2 linked regions of the Anolis sagrei genome follow. The protein of the gene in region 1 purifies or fractionates together with the protein of each later gene. This does not show direct contact. Links are inferred from orthologs where the notes say so. Each region holds a gene or a part of one and is shown in the gene's direction. Other genes may lie near its edges. The genes, in order: ATP6V1A and ATP6V1F.

Region 1 (10,112 bases):
TGCTGGGAGACGTAGTCCGGAAGAGTGTGTGGATATGCTATTGTGTGTTTTGGTTGCCATGTGCTGCAGCATATCTTTGGGGTTTTTTTTTTTTTTGCTTTTTAAGTCCCTTCTGCTGTGTTTCTCAGTGTTTTTATATGTGATGGTAACTCGTTGGCCTGATAGGTGTCTTGTATCCAAATTTGGTGTCAATTTGTTCAGTGGTTTCTGAGTTATGTTAACCCCACAAACGAACGTTACATTTTTATTTATATAGAAGACTAGCTGTGGCCCACTCCGGGAGTTCTGTGTGGGAGGTTTGGCCCAAATCGATCATTGCTGGGGTTCAGAATGCTCTGTGATTGTAGGTGAACTACAAATCCCAGCAACTACAACTCCCAAATGTCAAGATTCTATTTTCTCCAAACTCCACCAGTGTACACATTTGGGCATATTGAGTATTCATGCGAAGTTTGGTCCAGATCCATCATGCTGTGCTCTCTGGTGAACTACAACTACATTGTTTGAGTCCACAGTGCTCTCTGAATGTAGGTGAACTACAACTCCCAAACACAAGGCCAATGCCCACCAAACCCTTCCAGTATTTTCTGTTTGTCATGGGAGAACTGTGTGCCAAGTTTGTTTCAATTCCATCGTTGATGGGGTTCAGAATGCTCTTTGATTGTAGGTGAAATATTAATCCCAGCAACTACAACTCCCAAATGACAAAATCAATTTTTTTGAGTGAAGGACATACATTGGGTTGTTAGGTGTCTTGTGTCCAAATTTGCTGTCAATTCGTCCATTGGTTTTTGAGTTCTGTTAATCCCACAAACGAACATTATATTTTGATTTATTTACTAGCCGTCCCCTGCCACGCGTTGCTGTGGCCCACTCTGGTTGTCATGGGTGTTCTGTGTGGAAGGTTTGGCCCAATCCTATTGTTGGTGGGGTTCAGAATGCTCTGTGATTGTAGGTGAACTATAAATCCCAGCAACTACAACTCCCAAATTTCAAGATTCTATTTTCCCCAAACTCCACATTTGGGCATATTGAGTATTCGTGTAGAGTTTGGTCCAGATCCATCATTGTTTGAGTCCACAGTGCTCTCTGGATGTAGGTGAACTACAACTCCAAAACCAAAGGACACTGCCCACCAAACCCTTCCAGTATTTTCTCTCGGTCATGGGAGAAGTGTGTGTCAAGTTTGGTTCAACTCTATTGTCGGTGGGGTTCAGAATGCTCTTTGATTGTAGGTGAACTATACATCCCAGCAACTACAATTCCCAAATGACAAAATCAATTTTTGAGTGAAGGACATACATTGGGTTATTAGGTGTCTTGTGTCCAAATATGGTGTCAATTCGTCCAGTGGTTTTTGAGTTATGTTAATCCCACAAACAAACATTACATTTTTATTTATATAGATTACCTGCCTTGATATTGCGGGTTACATGTCTGTGTGGGAAAGCCCACTATGGAAACCGTTCCCGCGTGTTCCACTGGCGCGAGGGCCCCCCTCCGCGCAGGCCTCCCGCGCCTTCCTTCCCCCCCTCTTCCCACCCGCTGTCTTTGCGCGAGGCCCGGCAACACGAGCGGGCCCCCTCGCCTCAACTCCCGAAGACGGGCGGGGACGGCACACAACCACCGCCGCCGCCGGGTGCTGGTTGGGACGGCCGGCGCCGCACTCACCCCTTCATAGCTGCCGGGGGCCGGAGACCTCGACTCGGGGCTGGCGGTTGGGCGACTTCCGCCGTCGATCCACATGGGCCTCAGGCCGCTCCGACCGACCGCGCGGGCGAGCCAGGCAGCGAGCGTGCGCGCGCGGAGCCCCGCCCCTCTGGCCGACCTTTTGCCTTTCACGTCGGCGTGACGGCGCGCGCACTTCCGGCCGTGTTCCCGCGCGCTTTCCTGAGGGAGGCCTGTCAAAGAAAGCGGGCGGGGCCTGGTCCTCTCGACATGCGCAAAAGAGCCACAGCTCTTCCGCTGGGGGCCGGTGTTGTTCCTTCTCGCTACTTTGTACTGAGCCCCCCACTGTCCCCCAAAGTACAACCTAATATGTATTGTCGAAGGCTTTCATGGCTGGAATCACTCAGTTCTTGTGGGTTTTTTCGGGCTATATGGCCATGTTCTAGAGGCATTTCTCCTGACGTTTCGCCTGCATCTATGGCAAGCATCCTCAGAGGTAGTGAGGTCTGTTGGAAAAAAGGGAAAAAAGGGGGTTTATATATTTGTGGAATGACCAGGGTGAGACAAAGGGCTTTTGTAAGTTGGGCTAGGTGTGAATCTTTCAACTGACCACCTTGATTAGCATACAATGGGCTGACTGTGCCTGGAGCAAACTCTTCTTGAAAGGTGATTAGATGTCTCTGCCTGTTTTTCTCTCTGCTGTTTTTGCTGTTGCAATTTTAGAATTTTTTAATACTGGTAGCCAGATCTTGTTCATTTTCATGGTTTCTTCCTTTCTGTTGAAATTGTCCACATGTTTGTGGATTTCAGTGGCTTCTCTGTGTAGTCCGACATGGTGGTTGTGAGAGTGGTCCAGCATTTTTGTGTTCTCAAATAAAATGCTGTGTCCGGGTTGGTTCATCAGGTGCTCTGTTATGGCTGACTTCTCTGGTTGAAGTAGTCTGCAGTGCCTTTCATGTCCCTTGATGCGTGTCTGGGCAATGCTGCATTTGGTGGTCCCTATGTAGACTTGTGATGAGGAAACACAACATACAAACAATCTACAAACCCACCAAGAAAATCCAACAAATGCTACGTTCAGCAAAGGACAAGAGGGATCCTCTCACCTCTGCAGGAGTCTACCGTATACCATGCAGCTGTGGACAAGTCTACATAGGGACCACCAAACGCAGCATTGCCCAAACAAGAATCCAGGAACATGAAAGGCACTGCAGACTACTTCAACCAGAGAAGTCAGCCATAGCAGAGTACCTGATGAACCAACCTGGACACAATATATTACTTGAGAACACAGAAATGCTGGACCACTCTCACAACTACCATGTCAGACTACACAGAGAAGCCACTGAAATCCACAAACATGTGGACAATTTCAACAGAAAGGAAGAAACCATGAAAATGAACAAGATCTGGCTACCAGTATTAAAAAATTCTAAAATTGCAACATCCTAAACTACGTTCCCCAGAATTCTGCAGCTTTATCAACGCTTCCCCTCAACGCTTCTGTCACTGAAATACAGCCCCCCCCCCTCCAAATGGGAAGTTTGGTTTCACAACCCTGTGTATCTTTATGAGCACCTGGCAAATAACTTGCTCCTATTTTTATCTCATTATAGTTTTTAACATTTTAGCCTGTACAAGTGGCCCGTCCACTGTTTACTATGTCTGTGCTTTTTGTTGATTGTAATGCTATTTTGTTATTTAATTTTTAATGTAATTTTGATGATGTTGCTTGTTTATGTTTTGGTTTTATCTTGATGTAATATGTTGTTGTTGTTGATGGCAATGTTGTTGGCCATCAGACTGGAAAAAATCAACTTATATCCCCATACCAAAAAAGGGAAATGCGAAAGACTGCTCAAACTTCCGTACAGTGGCCCTTATTTCTCATGCCAGTAAGGTAATGCTCAAGATCCTGCAAGGAAGACTCCGGCAATACATGGAGAGAGAGTTGCCAGATGTTCAAGCTGGGTTTAGAAAAGGCAGAGGAACGAGAGACCAAATTGCCAATATCCGCTGGATAATGGAGAAAGGCAGGAAGTTTCAGAAAAACATCTATTTCTGTTTTATTGACTATTCTAAAGACTTTGACTGTGTGGATCATAATAAATTGTGGCAAGTTCTTGGTGGAATGGGCATACCAAATCACCTTGTCTATCTCCTGAGGAATCTATATAAGGACCAAGTAGCAACAGTAAGAACTGACTATGGAACAACAGACTGGTTCAAGATTGGGAAAGGCGTATGACAGGGCTGTATACTCTCCCCCAAACTATTCAACTTGTATGTAGAACACATCATGCGATGTGTGGGGCTTGAGGAATGCAAGGCTGGGGTGAAAATCCTGGAAGAAACATTAACAACCTTAGATATGCAGATGACACCACTTTGATGGCCAAAAGCGAGGAGGAGCTGAGGAGCCTTCTGATCAAGGTGAAAGAAGAAAGTGCAAAAGCTGGGTTGCAGTTAAACATAATAAAAACCAAGATTATGGCAACAAGAATGATTGACAACTGGAAAGTAGAGGGAGAAAACGTGGAGGCCGTGACAGACTTTGTATTTCTAGGTGAAAAGATTACTACAGACACAGACTGCAGCCAGGAAATCAGGAGACACTTACTTCTTGGGAGGAGAGCAATGGTGAATCTCGATAAAATAGTGAAGAGTAGAAACATCACACTGCCAACAAAGATCCGCATAGTCAAAGCAATGGTATTCCCTGTAGACATCTACAGATTTGAGAGCTGCACCATAGGGAAGGCTGAGCGAAGGAAGACAGATGCTTTCGAACTGTGGTGTTGGAGAAAAGTGCTGAGAGTGCCTTGGGCTGCGAGAAGATCCAACCAGTCCATACTTCAGGAAATAAACCCCGACTGCTCATTGGAGGGAAGGATATTAGAGGCCAAGATGAAGTAATTTGGCCACATCATGAGAAGATGGGAAAGCTTAGAGAAGACAATGATGCTGGGGAAAATGGAAGAAAAAAGGAAGATGGGCCGACCAAGGGCAAGATGGATGGATGGTATCCTTGAAGTGACTGGATTGACCTTGAAGGAGCTGGGGATGGTGACGGCCGACAGGGAGCTCTGGCGTGGACTGGTCCATGAGGTCACGAAGAGTTGGAAACGACTGAACGAATGAACAACAATATGTTGTTCGGGTTTGGCCCCATGTAAGCCGCTTCGAGTCCCCATCGGGGAGATGGTGGCGGGGTATAAATAAAGTTTATTATTATTATTTACTAGCTGTCCCCTGCCACGCGTTGCTGTGGCCCAGTCTGGTGATCTGGAAAATAAAGTAATTAGAAAGTATTAGTTTCTAATATATGTAATTCTTTTAGGCTTGTGAGTAAACAGTATTTCTTGTTGTTTCTTTGTCAGTGTTGATGTGGAGAGTGTCTGGTTTGCCCACCCTGGAACATGCAACATATCATAGTCCTTCTCTAGGGGTCTCTTTCAAATCTATGATACTATATCTGTGTGTGTGTGTGAGAATCATATCTATCTATCTATCTATCTATCTATCTATCTATCTATATCTATGGCTGGGAGTCCTATCTGCCAAGTTTGGTTCAATTCCATCATTGGTGGAGTTCAGAATGCTCTTTGATTGTAGGTGAACTATAAATCCCAGCAACTACAACTCCCAAATGTCAAGGTCTATTTCCCCCAAACTCCATCTGTGTTCATATTTGGGCATATGGAATATTTGTGCCAAATTTGGTCCAGATCTATCATTGTTTGAGTCCACAGTGCTCTCTGGATGTGGGTGAACTACAATTCCCAGACTCAAGGTCAATGTCCACCAAATCCTTCCAGTTTTATTTCTGTTGGTCATGGGAGCCCTGTGTGCTAAGTTTAGTCCAATTCCATCATTGGTGGAGTTCAGAATGCTCTTTGATTGTAGGTGAAATATAAATCCCAGCAACTACATCTCCCAAATGACAAAATTAAAAAAAATTGAGTGAAGAACATAGTTTGGGTTGTTAGGTGTATGCTGTCCAAATTTGGTGTCAATCGGCCCACTGGTTTTTGAGTTTTGTTCATCCCACAAACGAACATTACATTTTTATTTATATAATGATGATGATGATGATGAGTAGTAGTAGAAGTAGTAGTAGTAGTATTTATGCCCCTGGTGTGAAGTACAGCTGCATTAACCCTCCTGATTGCTGGCCTGAGCGACCTTGGGCAACTCACTCATTTCTAGATAAGAGTAATCTTAGGGTTGCCATAGGTCAGACACAACAAGGAATCTCTATCTATTATCTGGCAAGCCCGTCACGTGACTGAAAAGGTGGGGGGGGGGGCTGACCCTAACAGAGCTCTGCTTCCTGACTCACTCCTTATGCACGGAAAGTCTGCAGAACGTCGGACGAGGCGGAAGAGGAAGTGCACTTGGTTAAGCGCATGCGCACTAGATTCCCGGGGGTGGCAGACGCATTCACCTTCCTCCTGCGGCGTTGAAGGAAGCGAAGGAGCCAGCTGCTTCCGGAGGCGCCACAGCTCTGTCCTGTATCCCAGGTGAGGCCCCGGGACGCCCTTCCCCTCGGCCTGGACCCTCCGAAGCCCCTCGAGGAGGAAGGGCCCCAGTCCTTGCTTCTGACCGCGCTTGTCATTTATGGCAGGCGCAATTTCCTCAAACCGACAGGCCTTGGGTTGTTGTAGGTTTTGGGATTGTAAGGCCACGTTCTGGCAGTTTCGCCTGCATCTATGGCAGGCATTCTCAGAGATTGTGGGGACCACACAACCTCTGAGGATGCTTGCCATAGATGCAGGCGAAACGTCAGGAGGGAATGCTGCTAGAACATGGCCATATAGCCCGAAAAATTTGCAACAACCCAGTGATCTAATCACCTCTCAACAAAGTTCCCCAGGCACTGCCAGGCCATCAGAGCCCTAAACGGTTCTGGCCTGACCTACCTGTCTGAACGCGTCTCCTATGAACCAGTTAGGACATTAAGATCGTCTGGGGAGACCCTGCTCTCGATCCCGCCGGCTTCACAAGCACGCCTAGCGGGGACGAGAGACAGGGCCTTCTCAGTGGTGGCCCCTCGGCTGTGGAACGCCCTTCCTGCAGATATTGGATCGACCCCCTCCTTGCTGGCATTCCGGAGGAAAGTAAAGACCTGGCTGTTTGAATAGGCCAGGGGTCCTCAAACTAAGGCCTGGGGGCCGGATGTGGCCCTCCAAGGTCATTTACCTGGCCCTCACTCAGAGTTAATCTAAGTCTGTAATGGCTTGAAAGCAAACAACAACAACAATCCTATCTCATCAGCCAAAAGCAGACCCACACTTCCCATTGAATTTGTTAACATTGTTCTTCATTTTAATTATTGTATTGTTTTAAAGTGTATTTTGCATTACAAATAAGATATGTGTAGTGTGCATAGGAATTCATTCATTTTTTTTCAAATTATAATCCGGCCCGCCAACAGTTTGAGGAAATATGACCTGGCCCTCTGTTTAGAAAGTTTGAGGACCCTTGCCTTAGAACATGGCCATATAGCCCAAAAAATCTACAACAACCCAGTGATCTAATCACCTCTCAACAAAAGATTGCCCCAGGCACTGCCAGGCCATCAAAGCCCTAAACGGTTCTGGCCCGACCTACCTGTCCGAACGCGTCTCCTCCTATGAACCAGTTAGGACATTAAGATCGTCTGGGGAGACCCTGCTCTCGATCCCGCTGGCTTCACAAGCACGCCTAGCGGGGAGGAGAGACAGGGCCTTCTCAGTGGTGGCCCGTCGGCTGTGGAATGCCCTTCCTGCAGATATTAGATTGACCCCCTCCTTGCTGGCATTCCGTAGGAAAGTAAAGACCTGGCTGTTTGAATAGGCCAGGGGTCCTCAAACTAAGGCCTGGGGGCCGAATGCGGCCCTCCAAGGTCATTTACCTGGCCCTCACTCAGGGTCAATCTAAGTCTGTAACGGCTTGAAAGCAAACAATAACAACAATCCTATCTCATCAGCCAAAAGTAGACCCACACTTCCCATTGAAATACTAATAATTTTATATTTGTTAAAATTGTTCATTTTAATTATTTTATTATTTTCTGTGTTTTTTTGCACAACAAATAAGATATGTGCAGTGTGCATAGGAATTCATTCATGTTTTTTCAGATTATAATTCGGCCCTCCAACAGTTTGAGGGACTGTGACCTGGCCCTCCGTTTAAAAAGTTTGAGGACCCCTGGAATAGGCATTCGACTAAGCAGTGTGATTGATTGACTATCGGAACACGGAATATCGGATAACGAGTTTGAATTCTGATTTCATTGATGAGACCTGATGGATTTGTTATATTGATGTAGTGATGTATTGATATTGATGTTTAATGATTTGTGATGCTATTGCTTTTAAATGCTTAATGATTTTGTATTGTGTATACCTAAATTGTTGTAAACCGCTCTGAGTCGCCTAAGGGCTGAGAAGAGCGGTATACAAACAAAGTAAATAAATAAATAAATAAATGCTAATCAAGGTGGTCAGTTGAAACATTCACACCTAGCTCCAACAGACAAGAGTTCTTTGCCCCACCCCGGTCATTTCACAGATATATAAACCCACTTTCCTAGTTCCAATAGACCTCACTACCTCTGAGGATGCTTGCCATAGATGCAGGCGAAACGTCAGGAGGGAATGCCTTTAGAACATGGCCATATAGCCGGAAAAATCTGCAACAACCCAGTCATCTAATTACCTCTCAACAAAAGATTCCCCCAATAACTGCCAGGCCATCAAATGCTAATCAAGGTGGTCAGTTGAAACAGTCACACCTAGCTCCAAGAGACAAGAGTTCTTTGCCCCACCCCGGTAATTTCACAGATATATAAACCCACTTTCCTAGTTCCAATAGACGTCACTACCTCAGAGGATGCTTGCCATCGATGCAGGCGAAACGTCAGGAGAAAATGCCTCTACAACATGGCCATATAGCCCGAAAAATCTGCAACAACCCAGTGATCCAATCACCTCTCAACAAAAGATTCCCCCAGGCACTTCCAGGCAATCAAATGCTAATCAAGGTGGTCAGTTGAAACATTCACACCTAGCTCCAACAGACAAGAGTTCTTTGCCCCACCTTGGTCATTCCACAGATATATAAACCCACTTTCTTAGTTCCAATAGACCTCACTACCTCTGAGGATGCTTACCATAGATGCAGGTGAAACGTCATGAGAAAATACCTCTAGAACATGGCCATATAGCCTGAGAAAACCTACAACAGCCCAGTGATTCCGGCCATGAAAGCCTTCGACAATACATTGACAGGCCTTGCTTTGCTTGCCCACCCCCCCCCCCCCCTGCGCTTTTTGTGCACTTGCTTGGGATTCTGCCCTTATTGGACTGGAATCACCACTGGCTTATTCAATGGCCTGCTCAGCAGACTGCCCCCATTCCTTTGGGTCCTGTTGCACTCTTGCCATTGCATTTGGGCATATTGAGTATTCCTGTCAAGTTTGGTCCGGATCCATCATTGTTTGAGTCCACAGTGTTCCCTGGATGGAGGTGAACTACAATTCCAAAATTCAAGGTCAATGCCCACCAAACCCTTTCAGTATTTTCTGTTGGTCATGGGATTCTGTGTGCCAAGTTTAGGTCAATTCGATTGTTGGTGGAGTTCAGAGTGCTCTTTGATTGTAGGTGAACTATACATCCCAGCAACTACAACTCCCAAATGACAAAATCATACTTTTTTGATTGATGGTCACTCCTTGTGTAGTGAGACATTTTGTTGCCAAATTTGGTGTGATTTCATTCATAGGTTCTTTTGTTTTTAAGGTACTCATTATGCACAGAGCATTTATATATACCGTATATACTCGCGTATAAGCCGACCCGAATATAAGCCGATGCACCTAATTTTACCATAAAAAACTGGGAAAAATGTATTGACTCGAGTATAAGCCGAGGTGGGAAATGCAGCAGCTAATGGTGAATTTCAAAATAAAAATAGATATCAATAAAATTATATTAATTGAGGCATCAGTAGGTGAAATGTTTTTGAATATTTTCATAACATTGTAATTTAAGATAAGACTGTCAAACTCTGATTAAACCATTATAATAACCTTCTTCAACGTAAACGTGCTTACGTATCCTTCCAATAATAATAGAGTAAAATAATAAATGTAATAATAATAATAATAATAGAGTAAAATATTGGAAATGTAATAATAGTAATAAAAGAGTAAAATAATGAATGTAGCAGTAAACAATTATAAAGTAAAAAATAATGTAATAATAATGGAGGAAAATGATAAATATAATAATAATAATAACTAGAATAAATAATACGTGTAATAATAATAATAACGACAACAGAGTAAAATAATAAATAACCTTGACTCGAGTATAAGCCTGAAAAAAAGGGCTGAAAAACTAGGCTTATACTCGAGTATATACAGTATATAGATTTAAGATAAGACTTACCTATTATGG
Region 2 (10,786 bases), on another chromosome or scaffold:
CCAGGTTGAGAAACACTGCTCTAGTTTAATTCAGTCACTGCTAAGGATGAGCCTTCAGCAGTGATGGAGACTCCCCAGCAGTCTGAGGCTGAATCTATACTGCCATATCATCCAGATTACTATTTCTAGATTTAAGTCGTTGACACACTGGCTGATACCCAAACAGGGGATGAGCTGGAGATGTCTCTGCCTTGGTCCTTTCACTCTTGGCTGCTACTTCCCGGCGGATGTCAGGTGGTGCAATACCAGCTAGGCAGTGTAATTTCTCCAGTGGTGTAGGGCGCAGGCACCCCGTGATAATGCGGCATGTCTCATTAAGAGCCACATCCACTGTTTTAGCGTGGTGAGATGTGTTCCACACTGGGCATGCGTACTCAGCAGCAGAGTAGCATAGCGCAAGGGCAGATGTCTTCACTGTGTCTGGTTGTGATCCCCAGGTTGTGCCAGTCAGCTTTCGTATGATATTGTTTCTAGCACCCACTTTTTGCTTGATGTTCAGGCAGTGCTTCTTGTAGGTCAGAGCACGGTCCAGAGTGACTCCCAGGTATTTGGGTGCGCTGCAATGCTCCCGTGGGATTCCTTCCCTCCCAGGTAATAATCCTCAGAGCTTGGGATGCTTGTCTGTTCTTAAGGTGAAAGGCACATGTCTGTGTTTTAGATGGGTTGGGGATCAGCTTAAATCTAGAAATAGTTTTCTAAGATCTACAGAGACACTCGCTGGAACACCTCAGCAAGCGAGAGTCCAAAAGTGGCAGGCTCAAACCCAGAACCTCAATCAATGCTGATCCCAAATGAGAGACTCCCCCCTGGGCACACAGAGGACTGGGCGACTTGGAAGGCGCTGAACAGACTGTGCTCGGGCACCACGAGATGCAGAGCCAACCTCAAGAAATGGGGCCACAAAGTGGAATCCACGGCATGCGAGTGCGGAGAAGAGCAAACCACTGACGGTCTGCTGCAATGCAACCTGTGCAATGCAACACAATGGAGGACCTCCTTGCGGCAACACCAGAGGCACTCCAAGTGGCCAGATACTGGTCAAAGGACATTTATTTATTTATTTATTTATTTATTTATTTATTATTTATTTATTTATTTATTTATTTAGTACACTTGTATACCGCTAATATCTCAGCCTGTGCGGCGACTCATTGCGGTTTACAACATATTTAAAAATACAATATTCACTTTAAAAATATAAAATAAAATATAAAAATACAAAATAAAAAAAAATAAAAATAAAATAAAACATTTAACCAGCTACCAAGCTTGCAAAATTTGTGGTTTTTAAAAATCTGTTTGCATGTTTTGCTCTGTTAGAAATGTAATACAATGGTCTGGTTGCTGATGACACGATAAATACATACCCAGATAAAGAGAGAAGCACATCTTTGTTTTACCTTTATAGTGTCTGGGTGTGAAGGCACAATTATTATTATTATTATTATTATTATTATTATTATTATTATTCTGACACAAAAGCACAGTATGTTACAGCAAACAATGTGTATTGTTTCCCACTGCCGGCTGAGATCTTTTGGCATGGCACCCAGTGCGCCCATGACCACTGGGACCACCTGTACTGGGTTATGTTGTAAGCCGCATCGAATCCTTCGGGAGATGCTAGCGGGGTACAAATAAAGTTATAATAATAATAATAATAATAATAATAATAATAATAATATTATGCCAGAGCCTTTGCAGTTCGATTTTGAGGTCTTGATAGCAGCTGAGTTTTTCCTGTTTTTCCTCAATGCGACTGTCACCCGGTATGGCAACATCAATAATCCAGACTTTTTTCTTTTCCACAATAATAATAATAATAATAATAATAATAATAATAATAATAATGTTTCACCATTAAGCTGTATTTCTGGCATTGGAGAGGGATTGGCTGGTGACTGCTGGGAGAGCACTGGCTTTCTCGATGATGTTCAATGAGAGGCCGAGCTCGTATGCTTCTGCGAAGGTGTTTAGAGTGGCTTGTAGGTCTTCTTCTGAATGGGCACATACGGCGTTATCATCGGCATATTGGAGTTCTATAACCGATTATACTCCTGCGAAGGTGTTTAGAGTGGCTTGTAAGTCTTCTTCTGAATGTGCACATACGACGTTATCATCGGCATATTGCAGTTCTATAACCGATTATACTCCTGGACCGATCACCACCTGATCAGTTTTAGACTAACTGGGCCTCCTAACCTCCGCAAGGGTGGTGGACCTATTAGAATGGTCCGCCCCAGGAGACTTATGGATCCAAATGGACTCCTGATGGCTCTTGGGGATCTTCCCACCTCCTTGGCTAGTGATACTGTCGATGCTCTGGTCTCTCGTTGGAATAATGAGTTGACTAGGGCAATTGACACTATCGCTCCGGAACGCCCCCTCTCGAGTAACCGAGCTAAACCAGCCTCTTGGTTTACTGAGGAGCTGGCAGCAATGAAGCGAAAGAAGAGGAGGTTAGAGTGCGTGTGGCGCAAGAACCCCACCAATCCAGCCCAAACACACCTGAATGCCTTTTTAAGGTCCTACGGTGTGGCAATAACGGCGGCCCAGAAAATATTCATCACAGCCAATATTGCATCAGCAAAGAATCGTCCAGCGGAGCTTTTCCGAGTTGTCAGGGGCCTGTTAAATCCGCCAAAAAGCGAGGCCTCGGACAACTCGGTGGCTCGCTGTGAAGCATTTGCTCGATTCTTCGCGGATAAAACTGAGCGGATTTGGTCAGGTCTTGACGTCATGTTAACGGCAGTCTCCGGGGATGTAACGAGAGCATCTGCTTGTCCAGTTTTGTTGGATTCGTTTCAATTGGTTCAGCTTGAGGATGTGGACAGGATCCTTGGAGAGGTGCGACCCACCACATGCATCCTAGACCCCTGCCCATCCTGGCTGATTAAGGAAGCCAGAGGGGGTTTGGCGGAGTGGGTGAAGGTGATGGTTAACGCTTCCTTACAAGAAGGAAAATTTCCAGCGAGCTTAAAGCAAGCTATTATAAAACCGCTGTTGAAGAAACCATCACTGGATCCCACTCAATTTGACAACTTTCGGCCAGTTTCCAATCTCCCCTACTTGGGCAAAGTCATGGAACGTGTGGTGGCAACACAACTCCAGGGGTTTCTGGTAGACACTGATTATCTGGATCCGGCACAGTCTGGCTTTAGGCCGGGACATGGAACTGAGACAGCCTTGGTCGCCTTGGTAGATGATCTGCGCAGGGAACTGGACAGGGGGAGTGTGTCCCTGTTAGTTCTGCTGGACCTCTCAGCGGCTTTCGATACCGTCGATCACGGTATCCTTCTGGGTCGCCTCAGGGATATGGGGCTTGGGGGCACTGCTTTGCAGTGGCTCTGATCCTTCCTCGAGGGACGGACCCAGAAGGTGTTACTGGGTGACACCTGTTCGGCCCCACAACCGTTGTTGTGTGGAGTCCCACAGGGTTCAATTCTGTCCCTGATGTTATTTAACATCTACATGAAACCGTTGGGAGAGATCATTCGGAGTTTCGGAACGAGATGCTATCTCTACGCAGATGATGTCCAAATCTGTCACTCCTTCTCACCTGTCACCAAGGAGGCTGTCCAGACCTTGAACCGGTGTTTAGCTGCTGTATCGGACTGGATGAGAGCTAACAAATTGAAATTGAATCCAGACAAGACAGAGGTCCTACTGGTCAGTCGTAAGGCCAATCAGGGTATAGGGTTACAGCCTGTGTTAGACGGGGTTACACTCCCCCTGAAGACGCAGGTTCGCAGCTTGGGAGTGATCCTGGACTCATTGCTGAGCCTGGAACCCCAGGTCTCAGCGGTGGCCGGGAGAGCTTTCGCACAATTAAAACTTGTGCGCCAGCTGCGCCCGTACCTTGAGAAGCCAGATCTGGCCACGGTGGTCCACGCTCTTGTCACATCCCGGTTGGATTACTGCAACGCACTCTACGTGGGGTTGCCTTTGAAGACTGCTCGGAAACTACAATTAGTCCAGCGAGAAGCAGCCAGATTGCTCACCAGGGCGACGTATAGGGAGCACACCACCCCCCTGTTGCGTCAGCTCCACTGGCTGCCGATCCAATTCCGAGCACAATTCAAAGTGCTGGTTTTGACCTACAAAACCCTATACGGTTCCGGCCCGGTGTATTTGTCCGAACGGATCTCCCTCTACATCCCACCTCGAAACCTAAGATCTTCTGGGGAGGCCCTGCTCTCGACCCCGCCACTTTCACAAGTGAGGCTGGCGGGGACGAGGAGCAGGGCCTTCTCAGTGGTGGCCCCCCACCTGTGGAACTCACTCCCCGGGGAGGTTAGATCGGCATCTTCCCTCATGGTGTTTAGGAAAAGACTGAAGACCTGGATCTGGGATCAAGCCTTTGGCCATTCTGAAGGTTAACTGAAGGATCTGATGTTAGACAAGAACAATTAGAATGGAATGGACATATGAACTCTGAACCCGAGCATGAGATTGTTTATGTTTTTATTATGTTTTATTATGTTTTTATTATGTACTGATGTTTTAATTAATTGTTGTGATGGTTGTATTTGTATTGCTGTAAATTGTTCTGGGCATCTAATTGTGCCCCCACTGTAAGCCGCCCTGAGTCCCCCCCGGGGTGAGAAGGGCGGGGTATAAGTAAATGAAATAAATAAATAAATAAAATAAATAAATAAAGGTGTTTAGAGTGGCTTGTAAGTCTTCTTCTGAATGTGCACATACGACGTTATCATCGGCATATTGCAGTTCTATAACCGATTATACTCCTGCAAAGGTGTTTAGAGTGGCTTGTAGGTCTTCTTCTGAATGTGCACATAAAACGTTATCATCGGCATATTGGAGTTCTATAACCGATTATGGTTCTGCGAAGGTGTTTAGAGTGGCTTGTAGGTCTTCTTCTGAATGAGCACATACGACTTTATCATTGGCATATTGGAGTTCTATAACCGATTATACTCCTGCGAAGGTGTTTAGAGTGGCTTGTAGGTCTTCTTCTGAATGAGCACATACGACGTTATCATCGGCATATTGGAGTTCTATAACCGATTATACTCCTGCGAAGGTGTTTAGAGTGGCTTGTAGGTCTTCTTCTGAATGAGCACATACGACGTTATCATCGGCATATTGGAGTTCTATAACCGATTATACTCCTGCGAAGGTGTTTAGAGTGGCTTGTAGGTCTTCTTCTGAATGCGCACATACGACGTTATCATCGGCATATTGGAGTTCTATAACCGATTATACTCCTGCGAAGGTGTTTAGAGAGGCTTGTAGGTCTTCTTCTGAATGCGCACATACGACGGTATCATCGGCATATTGGAGTTCTATAACCGATTATACTCCTGCGAAGGTGTTTAGAGTGGCTTGTAAGTCTTCTTCTGAATGCGCACATACGACGGTATCATCGGCATATTGGAGTTCTATAACCGATTATACTCCTGTGAAGGTATTTAGAGTGGCTTGTAGGTCTTCTTCTGAATGCGCACAGACGACGTTATCATCGGCATATTGGAGTTCTATAACCGATTATACTCCTGCGAAAGTGTTTAGAGTGGCTTGTAGGTCTTCTTCTGAATGCGCACATACGACGTTATCATCGGCATATTGGAGTTCTATAACCAATTATACTCCTGCGAAGGTGTTTAGAGTTTCTTGTAAGTCTTCTTCTGAATACGCACATACGTTATCATCGGCATATTGGTGTTCTATAACCGATTACACTTCTGCAAAGGTGTTTAGAGTGGCTTGTAAGTCTTCTTCTGAATGCGCACATACGATGTTATCATCAGCATATTGGAGTTCTATAACCAATATTCTTGTAACCTTGGTTACAAATCAGATAATCTTGGGTTGTTGTAGGTTTTTTCGGGCTATATGGCCATGGTCTAGAGGCATCCTCTCCTGACGTTTCGCCTGCATCTATGGCAAGCATCCTCAGAGGTAGTGAGGTCTGTTGGAACTGGGAAAATGGGTTTATATATCTGTGGCATGACCAGGGTGGGACAAAGGACTCTTGTCTGCTGGAGCTAGGTGTGAATGTTTCAGCTGACCACCTTGATTAGCATACAATGGCCTGACAGTGTCTGGGGCAAACGTTTGAGAGGTAATTAGATGTTAGATTAGATCAGATAATCTTGTTTACAAATCAGATAATCTGGATCTTATATGGCAGTGTGGAAGGGGCCTGAGCCAGGTGAGGCAAACAAGCCCAGCGAGAAGTTATACAGGGAGCGTGCAGAGCCCTCCAGAAAGATGTCCATCCAGCGTCTGTTTGAAAGCCTCCAAAGAGGCAGAGAGTTCCCCAGGACAGGCCAGAAAGTTTTTCCTCAAGCTCAACATCCGTGTGTGCCTCTACTGGTTTCTATCTCTGTGGACAGCTGCAGCAGCAAACCTGGACGCATGCGCAGAGAGCCATGAGGCGACTGCGCATGCACCTCCGTGCAGTATAACAGCTCCCTACGGCGGCCGCTCGGGGTCATTCTTATCCCTCGCGCGTTTCCTGAGGCGTCATGGCCGGCCGGGGGAAGCTCATCGCCGTCCTGGGAGACGAGGACACGGTGACCGGCTTCCTGCTGGGAGGCGTCGGGGAGCTCGACAAGCACCGCCGCCCGAACTTCTTGGTGGTGGAGAAGGAGACCGCCCTGGCCGAAATCGAGGAGGCCTTCCGGTAATTCGAATTGGGGACGCGGGGGGCGGGGGGGGGGAGGGGAGAGAACTAGGTGGAACAGCCGGTTGCCGTGGAAACGCAGGGGTTTGGACTGAACCACTCTCCCAGGAAAGATAGGGGGAAATGCCTGGGTTTGGACTGAACCAATTAATGGAGGGGAAGGGAATAAAGTTACAGCCTTGAGTCTCTTTCGGGGAGAGAAAAAGCGGGGATTAAATAGTAATCATAATTATGACAATAATATAGTAAATATAAAATATAGTAAATATAAATAAATAAGTATATAATATAATATTTATAATATTGTAATTTAATGCAATATAATACTACTAATAATAATATATTATAATTATATATTTATAATACATGTAATGTTACTAATAATATTACAGTATAATTGATATAGTGCAATATAGCAATATTTAAAACTGATATTGTACTATGTTAATAATATATTGGGTTGTTGTAGGTATTTTCGGGCTATAGGGCCATGTTCTAGAGGCATTCTCTCCTGACGTTTCGCCTGCATCTATGGCAAGCATCCTCAGAGGTAGTGAGGTCTATTGGAACTAGGAAAAAGGGTTTATGTATCTGTGGAATGACCAGGGTGGGGCAGATAGCTCTTCTCTGCTAGAGCTAGGTGTGAATGTTTCAACTGACCTTGGAATAAGGGATGTGCAACCTATATTTGCTTCCCATGGGTTGCAGGAAAAAAAAATCCTTAACTATATTGCTGTTATGTTTATTTATACCCCACTTTACCTCTCCCGAAGGAGACTCAAAGCGGCTTACCATTAAAAGTAAGTGGTTAGACCACATCTGGAATATTGTGTCCAATTCTGGGTGCCACAGTTCAAGAGAGATATTGACAAGCAGGAATGTGTCCAGAGGAGGGCAACTAAAATGATCAAGGGTCTGGAGAACAAGCCCTATGAGGAGCGGCTTAGGGAACTGGGCATGTTTAGCCTGAAGAAGAGAAGGCTGAGAGGAGATATGATAGCTGTGTATATATATGTGAGAGGAAGCCACAGGGAAGAGGGAGCAAGCTTGTTTTCTGCTTCCTTGGAGACTAGGACGCGGAACAATGGCTTCAAACTACAAGAGAGGAGATTCCATCTGAACATGAGGAAGAACTTCCTGACTGTGAGAGCCGTTCAGCAGTGGAACTCTCTGCCCCGGAGTGTGGTGGAGGCTCCTTCTTTGGAAGCTTTTAAGCAGAGGCTGGATGGCCATCTGTCAGGGGTGATTTGAATGCAATATTCCTGCTTCTTGGCAGAAAGGGGTTGGACTGGATGGCCCATGAGGTCTCTTCCAACTCTTTGATTCTATGATTCTATGAAAAGTAGGATCACATAATTTAAATTGTACAAATATGCAAACATTAAAACAGAATTAAAATTCACATTTAAAATCCATTAAAACATACTGAAAACTAAAAATCATATATATATATATATATATGAGAATGACTTGGGTGGATGATAGTTACTTCCCTCCCAGCAGATCCCGGAGATGTCTTTCCTCTTTTAAATTAATCACACTTCATGTCTCAAGGTCAAAAGTTTCCATTTCTGCTTTTGGGTAGAATGAGAAACACTTCCTCTATTTTTCTACTGGGAAAATCTATGACTCCAGAAGGGTCAGCTGATGGGAGGACTTGTTTCTCTTGTGATAAACGAATGAATACATTTGGCTACAGCCTTTGCTTTGCAGAACTGTTTACTGTGGAATGTTTTTTAAATGTCGAGAGCCACTTTGCATCTAGATCAGTGGTTCCCAACCTTTTTTTGACCAGGGATCACTCTCCAAAATTAGTACCAAAAGGGTTAAGAATCAGCGGACCACTCCAAAATTAGTACAAAAAGGGTTACGAATCAGTTTTTAGATTCAGTTTCATTATTTGGGGCTCTGATTCAGAAAATTGCATTGGACAGACCAAATAACAACAACTACTAGAATCATAGTTTGAAGAGACCTCCTGGGCCATCCAGTCCAACCCCATTCTGCCAAGAAGCAGAAATATTGCATTCAAATCACCCCTGACAGATGGCCATCCAGCCTCTGTTTAAAAGCTTCCAAAGAAGGAGCCTCCACCACACTCCGGGGAAGAGAGTTCCACTGCTGAACGGCTCTCACAGTCAGGAAGTTCTTCCTCATGTTCAGATGGAATCTCCTTTCTTGTAGTTTGAAGCCACTAAAAAAAAATTGATTTTGTCATTTGGGAATTGTCGTTGCTGGGACTCAAACAGTGATGGATCTGGACCAAACTTGGCACAAATATTCCATATGCCCAAATATGAACACAGATGGAGTTTAAGGGAAATTCCAGCAACGACATTATTCCACAGATATAAAAAGGGTTTATATATCCGTGGAATAATGACAAGGGTGGGACAAAGGACTCTCGTCTGCTAGAGCTAGGTGTAAATGTAAAATCACAACAGCACAACAGAGGAAACAAACAAGGACATCTAATCACCTCTCAACAAAAGATTGCTCCAGGCACTGTCAGGGCATTATATGCTAATCAAGATAGTCAGTTGAAACATTCACCCCTAGCTCCAGCAGACAAGAGTCCTTTGTCCCACCCTGGCCATTCCACAGATATATAAACCCTTTTTCCTAGTTCCTACAGATCTCACTGCCTCTGAGGATGCTTGCCATAGATGCAGGCGAAACGTCAGGAGAGAATGCCTCTAGAACATGGCCATATAGCCCAAAAAAAACCTACAACAACCCAGCATTGAAAACTGTTTGAAAATATAGCTTGAGAAGATTCATTCCCACAACACTAAAGTGGATTGTGTCTGATTGTGTTAAATGCAACTCAAAGAAAGCAGAACCACTGGAAAGGGATTATAAGGAGTATGGAAGTTGTGGTGGAAAAAATAAATAAAATAAAAACTGCCCTCCTTATCCTTTGAAGCAGATAATACTCCTTTCTTTGGTATTGCTGGGTCTTGCTCCCTTTCTTTAGAGCAGGGGTCCTCAAACTAAGGGGCCAGATGCGGCCCTACAAGGTCATTTACCTGGCCCTCGCTCATACAATCATAGAATCCTAGAATCAAAGAGTTGGGAGAGACCTCATGGGCCATCCAGTCCAACCCCATTCTGCCAAGAAGCAGGAATATTGCATTCAAAGCACCCCTGACAGATGGCCATCCAGCCTCTGTTTAAAAGCTTCCAAAGAAGGAGTCTCCACCACACTCCGGGGCAGAGAGTTCCACTGCTGAACGGCTCTCTCAGTCAGGAATCATAGAATCAAAGAGTTGGATGAGACCTCCTGGGCCATCATCCAGTCCAACCCCATTCTGCCAAGAAGCAGGAATATTGCATTCAAATCACCCCTGACAGATGGCCATCCAGCCTCTGTTTAAAAGCTTCCAAAGAAGGAGTCTCCACCACACTCCGGGGCAGAGAGTTCCACTGCTGAACGGCTCTCACAGTCAGGAAGTTCTTCCTCACTTAAGTCTGAAACGACTTGAAGGCACACAACAACAACAACAACAATCCTATCTCATCAGCCAAAAGCAGGCCCACACATCCCATTGAAATACTAATAAGTTTATATTTGTTAAAATTGTTCTTCATTTTAATTATTGTATTGTTTTTAAGTGTTGTTTTTTTGCACTACAAATAAGATATGTGCAGTGTGCATAGGAATTCATTCATGCTTTTTTCAAATTATAATCCAGCCCTCCAACAGTTTGAGGGACTGTGACCTGGCCCTCTGTTTAAAAGGTTTGTGGACCTATGCTTTAGAGTCTGTGCAATAAACTAGAGATTTGCTAAGGCATGGAGGTGTGGAATTCAAGGCTGTTATTTTGCATCAAGTCCTTCTTTGTCCTTGTGTTTGAAGGAATTTGCAATTTCCTCTCTTGAAAGAACCAGATCAGACAAAGGTTTGGCTCTCATTCTGTTTACACACAAACAACCGTCTTCCAAAAGGCCTCTGATGCGGGTTTTAACTGACTTCTGCCCGGTCCCTCCTTTGCCTGACCTTAGAAGGTCCTTGAAGGTAGAGTTGGAAGAAACCCAAAGTCCCATGCAGTCCAACCCTGTTCTGACATTTGGTTAGACCACACCTGGAATATTGTGTCCAATTCTGGGCACCACAAATCAAGAGAGATATTGACA

The links.
Region 2: the proteins of ATP6V1A (region 1) and ATP6V1F fractionate together in Homo sapiens (co-fractionation; 3 studies listed by BioGRID and IntAct, with this or other methods). This does not show direct contact. The link is inferred for Anolis sagrei from reciprocal best matches to the Homo sapiens genes ATP6V1A and ATP6V1F.

Annotation. Positions count from the first base shown.
Region 1 is NC_090022.1:165,334,140-165,344,251, forward strand, and holds the start of ATP6V1A (V-type proton ATPase catalytic subunit A), read left to right. Parts: upstream 1-6,058; 5' UTR 6,059-6,191; intron 6,192-10,112. Other genes in the region: NAA50 (N-alpha-acetyltransferase 50), read right to left, coding at 1,672-1,679. UniProt on the Homo sapiens protein: Catalytic subunit of the V1 complex of vacuolar(H+)-ATPase (V-ATPase), a multisubunit enzyme composed of a peripheral complex (V1) that hydrolyzes ATP and a membrane integral complex (V0) that translocates protons.
Region 2 is NC_090025.1:196,097,869-196,108,654, forward strand, and holds the start of ATP6V1F (V-type proton ATPase subunit F), read left to right. Parts: upstream 1-6,411; 5' UTR 6,412-6,491; coding exon 6,492-6,649; intron 6,650-10,786. UniProt on the Homo sapiens protein: Subunit of the V1 complex of vacuolar(H+)-ATPase (V-ATPase), a multisubunit enzyme composed of a peripheral complex (V1) that hydrolyzes ATP and a membrane integral complex (V0) that translocates protons.